Linked DNA regions of Danio rerio. The protein of the gene in region 1 interacts with the protein of each later gene in a biochemical or structural test. Links are inferred from orthologs where the notes say so. Each region holds a gene or a part of one and is shown on either strand. Other genes may lie near its edges.

Evidence for each region.
Region 2: the proteins of rc3h2 (region 1) and klhl6 form a complex in vitro, tested with the Homo sapiens proteins (2 studies listed by BioGRID, with this or other methods). The link is inferred for Danio rerio from reciprocal best matches to the Homo sapiens genes RC3H2 and KLHL6.

Annotation. Positions count from the first base shown.
Region 1 is NC_133185.1:10,221,438-10,225,272, forward strand, and holds part of rc3h2 (roquin-2), read left to right. Parts: intron 1-2,794; coding exon 2,795-2,927; intron 2,928-3,009; coding exon 3,010-3,128; intron 3,129-3,835. UniProt on the Homo sapiens protein: Post-transcriptional repressor of mRNAs containing a conserved stem loop motif, called constitutive decay element (CDE), which is often located in the 3'-UTR, as in HMGXB3, ICOS, IER3, NFKBID, NFKBIZ, PPP1R10, TNF and in many more mRNAs.
Region 2 is NC_133177.1:39,635,334-39,638,828, reverse strand, and holds the end of klhl6 (kelch-like protein 6), read right to left. Parts: intron 972-3,495; coding exon 670-971; 3' UTR 547-669; downstream 1-546. UniProt on the Homo sapiens protein: Involved in B-lymphocyte antigen receptor signaling and germinal center formation.

The DNA.
Region 1 (3,835 bases):
CTCCTTGTTAACTCATTATAAGTTTGTCATGTTCACCTGTGTGTCAATTTACTTTTTACTTTATAATCATGTTTTCAGTCCTGTGCCAGTTCGTCGTCGTTATTTCCATGTCCTGTGCTATCCAGTCCTGTTTGTCCTGCCAGCCCATCCAAGTTTATTTGAGTGTTTGTTTTGTAGTTATGTTTTTCCCCCTCGGGGTGGTTTTTGTTGTCCTTTTTGTTTTATTTTTATTAATAAATACCATCTTTTGTTGCATTTGAGTCCTCGCTCCCTCATCCTTCCTGAAACCCTGACAAGGAATGCCTGTAAAAAATTTAAAATGAGAACAACCTCATTTTAACCATTGGAAATCAATAGTATTATATGATACAACTGATAAAACAAATTGGTAAGACTTTTGGTAAGAATTATGGTCCCTATTGGACATTTTGTTGACTAAAGGTTGCAACTACATGCCAATTGCTTCTTGTTTGAGTTATAGTAGACTGTCTGCTTAATATCTGTTAATACTGCTTCTTCAACAGACATTTAACTGACTATTAGAAACTTTGCAAGTACATGTCAACTTACACTAACCCTAACCTTAACCTAACAGCCTAATGTAATATAATCTAATGAGAATTCAAGACTTCACACTTAGCTGATGATTGATTATAAGCAAGTTTGACATACTTTCCCGGAAGAAAGCCCTGAGCCCAAAAGGTCCTTAAGCCCTGGGCTCCATCCCGTTTGCAGGGCAAGGGGGGAGCCTTGAGGTAGATCTCGACAACTCCCCCCTTGATAAGAGCTGATGACTAAAATGAATGCTATGAAGAGATATGCTGCAGGATGAGAGTTTGACTGTAGTGCTAAATTTAGGTTGATCAATTCACATGTAGTGCATGCTTTTGGAATGTGGGGGGAAACCGGAGAACTCAGGGAAAACCCACACGAGCACGGGAAGAACATGCAAACTACGCACAGAAATGGCCTGTTAAAGGACTAGAACCGGTGACATTCTTGCTGTGAGGCAACAGTGCTAACCACTGGGCCACCATGCCGCCCTATGAAGGGAAAGGTGGAGAAGTAGGGGTGGAAGGGGGGATTCTTCAAATCGAAGATGGCTGTAGTGAGAAACCCTGGCTCTTTATAGTGGGTTAGGACTGGCCTGAGTGGTGGATCATACGTAGCTAATGCAGAACCAGCTGTGTTCAGTCATAATCACGTGATCCTCTCGAAATTAGTTTATAAATAAACTTCACTTAGTTGGCATTTAGATGCAATGTAACATAAATTCTACAAAATGCGTTAAAGGGACCATCAAAATAAAGTGAAACCCAAAAAATCTGATAAAAATAACAAATGTAATTTCTGCATTCAGCAATTTAGTTAAGGAGAGAATTAAAATGTAAAAAGTAAATGGTAAATTCTATGTTAGCACTCAGTTAAGGTTAATAAACTTCAGCTCATACGTTTATTGTACTTAAAACTGAAATTTAGTGTACAATGTATCTTTGGGGTAATATAAAAATAGCAAACCTAAACTTTTTGAAAACTGGTGTTGTCATCATGAGCCGTGAAAAAAGCAGTGCATGATGGGCATCGCATAATCAAAAATTGCAATCATCCTTTTTATTAATTTAGGTTTTTTTTAAAGAATCATTGAGTATGTTTACATGGACACCAATCATAATAGTTTTAATTAGATCAAGATAATACTCTGATTAAGAGTCTACCATGTAAACAGCGATTTTTGATTAATTTAATCCGACTAAAGTCATAATCGAACTAAAGAGAAATCGAATTAAGACGTAGAGTATGCAGATTTTAGTCGCATTATTGAAGTGCAGTACAGACATGTAAACACAGCAATCAAACTATTACCGCCATGTAGGATTTTCGCTGCATTTTGCGACAGGATATTCCATACACACTCGGCTGTTTGACACTATTCTCTGCACCTGTCGAGTTAATGAAGGACCACAAACATTAATTGCAGCGCTTTTTTTCCCATACGGCGTGTGGTGTCAAACTCCATTTGAACAACACACGTCCAGCAGTTTATTCTCGCATCCAATATCTCGTTTGTCACGGGGAGCTTGCATGAAATGTTCCTGAATGAAAGTGAAAGTGTCAAATTGCAATTAGGTTCAACAAATCAAAAATGAAACACCTGAAATTACATGAAACTTGGGAGGAAATGTGGATAGCCTGGTGACGCAATGATGTTAATCGAATTATGTGCTATAACATGTAAAGAGGGATCATGAAAGGAACATTTGAAAAGCAACTCATGTAAACACCTTAATCATATTATTGTCTTATTCAGATTAATGCAAATAATTTAACTACTGATGTCCATGTAAGCGAAGTCATTGTAAACATAAACCACAAGTAAAATATACTTGGAATAAGTTCAAAGTGTCTACAATTACCTTTTTAAGTTTTGTTCTTGCTTGTACTAAACTCTAAAATTATATTTGCTGCTTGTTTAAATTACTTAAATTGAGTTGAAACAACACAATTTTTAAGAGTTTTTGAGGACAACGTAATTCTTTTATGTTCAATCCACTTAAATTTGTAAAAACGATGAAGTTAACTTAATCGATTTGTGTTGGGACAACATAACAAAACTGAGAGAAACCCAGCATTTTAAAGTGTAAATTATTTAATTTGGAAATCACTTTTTTTGTAGTATTTTCTTGATCGCATTATAATTTTTATCTCTGTGAAAGAAAGTAAATAGTTTTAGACTTTTTTTAGAAAATGTTTTGGCTCTCATCTTTATGACTGCTTTTGTCCTTTTCCACTACAGCTTCAGTCCCCAGAATCCTTTGCGAAGAGCGTGCAGGAGCTCACCATAATCCTGCAGAGAACAGGAGACCCAGCCAACCTGAACAGCCTCAGAGCTCCTCTCGAGCTGCTGGCCGGCATCGACCACAACCCTGGTGAGCTCTTACACCTCCACAAACACCATGAGATAATATCATTGGAAATAACCGCTATTTGTGTGTGTGTGTGTGTGTGTAGATGCAGCTGCTCCATCTTGGCCAGAGCTGGAGAGTGTGTTACTAGCCGTGAAGGTTGTTGTCCATGGGCTGGTGGAGTTCATCCAAAATTTTAGCAAAAAGAGCACTGAAAGCCCTCAGGTATTGCTTCAGGATCTGCTGAATACATTCATTCCATATTACTTTAATTATAGATGTCAGAAATGCAAAATGTTTTACTGTGATGTAAATGTATTAGGGGTTTTCAAGAAGGTTGACATTGTTTAATGTAGTATGTGACAGATCTAGCTGTTTACTTTACCCTTGATTTCACACTATTATTTATTGGTAATTTTGCAGTATTGCTAATTGGATGGTCTGTTAAAATATACAGCATTTTTGAATTTTAAAAACATATTCATCCTATGATGTAGTTATTCAGTGAGTTATTCAGATTCATCAATATTAGACCTAAAACGTATGAAGCACAGTTGAAGTCAGAATTATTAGCCTCCCTGAATTATATGCCCCTCTGTTTATTTTTCCCCTAATTTCTGTTTAACAAAGAGAAGATTTTCTCAGCACATTTCTTAACATAATACTTTTAATAACTAATTTCTACTAACTGATTCATTTTATCTTTGCCATGATGACAGTAAATAATATTTGACTAGATAGTTTTCAAGACACTTCTATACAGCTTAAAGTGACATTTAAAGGCTAAACTAGGTTAATTAGGTTAACTAGGCAGGTTAGGGTAATTAGGCAAGTTATTGTATAACGATGGTTTGTTCTGTAGACTATCGAAAAAAATATTGCTTAAAGGTGCTAATAGTTTTGACCTTAAAATGTTTTTCTAAATAATTAAA
Region 2 (3,495 bases), on another chromosome or scaffold:
TATGTACTTTTTTGTGAAGATAAAATATATACTTTTGATTGTGTAACAAGAGTATAGAAGCTTTGGAACACACTACTTCCACTTTAATGGATCAATGTGTTGCTTCGTTATGAGCCCTGCCAATCATCCACACATCATTCACCATATTTCTGCCATATTTAATTTCCTGTCTTACTGGAGAAGCAACAGTAGGATAATCTGCCATTCACAAGTCTTTCATGCAGAGAATTTTCTTTATGCATTCAGACGTTAATGTGCAAACACATCTTTATATTAGTTCAGTATTGTTGTTGCAGATCAAATAAAACACAGACAACGCAATTTAAATATTTTCCAGTGGGCTAGATATTAATTAACAGTAAATTCTATTTTTAAATAGTATTTCGGATGGATAGTACGCGAATTGGGACGCAGCATTGAATTTTTTTCATTGTCACATGTTTTGTTCTCGACATCACATTTTATTATGATCCCAACTTAAAAGTCAACACCAAGAGAACAAGAAAGACAGTCTTAGGGCTTCCATATAAACCTGGCTTAATAAATGTTAGTAGAGCCCAATGTAACCTTTTCAGTTCCACACAGAGGCAGGCGCTCTAAGAAGGAGGCTAAACAACAAAGCCTCCACTATACAAACTGTAAAACTGCACTCTCCAGCTGATATATCTGTCATCCAGTGGCAGTTCCAGGTGTTATCCTGCGTATATGCGTGTAGGACTTCCTGATAGTCACACTGCCATGATGAGAGACTCCACGTGGAAGCACACACTCCTCTGTTAACTTCTTTGTGTCCGGGTTCCAGCAGAGAACTGTCGCGATCACCTCATTCTTGTCATCGCGGCCTCCAGTAATGAAGAGCTTGTTGTTGCACGCAGCAATGCCACAGCTGGCTCTCTCACAGCCCAGCTGGATTATCAGCGTCCACGAGTCTACCAGAGGACTGTAGGAATACAAAGCCTTCATCGCTCCACCTTAATTGAGTAGAAACAATGAGACAGAAAAGATCAAAATTAGAGAACAATATACAATTTAAAAGTAGCTTTTAAGCATGGGTTGTTTGTAATATTGAGCACAGTTTTAAAAAAACTTGAATGATATTTAAAATGATGATTAAAAATTAGCTATCTCTTTTAGATAATTCCCAACATGCACCTTGATGACAAAATGACATCAAATCAATTTGCATTTTCGTCACCTTTTTTATGTCAAATGGTCATCCATCCACCTATTTTTATGTGCATTCTGCATATGCGCATTAAAAAATGGTTGATGGAAACACCATCATGCGCATAAATTTTGAAAATGCACATAACAAACATGCGCATAACTGAGTAGGATGAACTTTTTATTCAATAAGGAAAGATGCGAATAAACTACGATGAAAAATATTTTACCTGACAAATTTAAGTATGCGCATTAAAAAAGGTCATGTGAGTTTGCGATAAGAGATCGTGTGATTATGAAAATGTCTGTGAATGGACAAACAGTATGAGCACACTGTAAACCATCTAAAATGTTGTTTTGGTCATTCTAAAACACCTTACAGTTTCAGTATTAGTGTTATATTATTAATAACTTCCAGAATCAAGAGCGTCTGTGCTCCGCGTCTTGACACCTTCAAACGCTACCGCGCGTTCTCTGCGTGTCAGGATTGCCTTCTGATCCGCAAGTCATTTATTAGATGAGGAAAAGACTGAGGCAGCTTCTCCTACTGCAGAAAATTCTGTTTTTACTGTTGATATAGGGCACCAGTTAATCAGATAGTGACGATTTTGTTCACTTTGACTCGTTGGATGGAAACGCTGCTTTATTTTATCTTTTATGCGATAATCCAGTTTTGCACATAAAGTTCATTCGCATTTTTGGATGGAAACATATTGATGCCAAAAACACCCAATTGATTTTATTTTTTATTTTTAAATCATTGTTTTAAATTTCTTTTGACATCAAGGTAGTTTACACCTTGAATATTTGTCCAAGGTATATTTGTAATTGAAGCTTTCAGATTAAAAAAACTTTTCTTATATTATAATACTTTGTGTTGTTATTTTGGTCATCAAATGGACAACAATGGCTATGTTTCCATCCAAAAATGTGAATTCCATTTATCCACAAAACTGAAATATAGCATAAAAGATGTGCGAATAAAGCACCAAAACTGGCACCAAATATCTACAGTAAAAATTTTTTTTGCTGCAGTAGGAGAAGCTGCGTGAATCTTTTCCTTATTTAATAAATAACTTTGTGCCTCAGAAGACGATGTCGACACACAATGAATGTGTGGTAGCGTTCGAAGGCGTGAGATGTGGAGTACAGACACTCTTGACAGTTCTGGAAGTAATTAATAATATATTAACACGGAAATGGTTATGGCGTTTTAGAATGGCCAAAACAACATTTCAGTGGTTTTACAATACGGTCAGCCTGCTGGTTTGTCCATTCACACACATTTTTTATCATCAAATGATCTCTTATAACAAAATCGCAGTTTTTTTATGAGCATACTGGAATTTGTTCGGTAAAAGTGTTTCCATCGAAGTTTGCACATTTTTTCCTATAGGATAAAAAGTTTATCCTACTCAGTTATGCACATATGTTCTTTATGGGCATTTTCAAAATTTATGCACATCATGGCGTTTCCATCATTCGATTTCCAAAATGCACATAAAAATAGGTGGATGAAAACATAGCTCATTTGTTTTGACATCAAATCAATTTGCAATGTGTTTTTGACATCATTTATACATCAAAGTTCCCCACAGGTTCACAGTTATTGGTGCGAAAATGCAGCTGCTGGTAATTTTTTTTATCTGATAAACCCTATTTTACTGGCAGCCAAACCTTTTATTTTCACTGACTTTTCAAGATAGTGAGCCATTGTATATAAAGGTACTAGAGTAAAAACTGGAGACCTAAGTTTAAAATAACCAAAATCAATGAAGTGTCTAAAACAATAAAACAAGTTAAGCTGAGCACAGTGAAATAATGAAATGGCCAGACCAGAGTCCCAAACTAAACCTGACTAAAAAGTCTGCAAAGTCTTTTGCAGCAAAGTTATATCTAAGAAACCCCTACTGAACTCTGGAAGAGACTGGAGAAGAGTGGATCAAGTTCACAGCAGTGCAGTGAGAGACTAGTGATGTCCTGATGTGCTGAAGCTAAAGTAAGGGCCTTTGCGATTTCTGCTAAATTATAATGCCTGTAGCATTCAGGAATTTTAGTTGGGATCTTTCCTCATGCTCCAACAATTACTTCAAAAAATTGTTGTGCAGAAATGTTTTAAAATAGTTCTAAGACCATTTCATAAATTAAGGTGTGAATCAGAGAAAATGAACGTGCGCACAAAAACCAGTGTAAGCTTTCTTCAGATGTGACTATTGAAATTGTGCATAGCTGACCGCTTTTAAATCTCTGCCTTGTAAAGTCCCATAATGGACTCTTCACAAGCTTGTTATGACTCGTTTAACGTGTTCATCGGCATCTTTAATCCTTTAA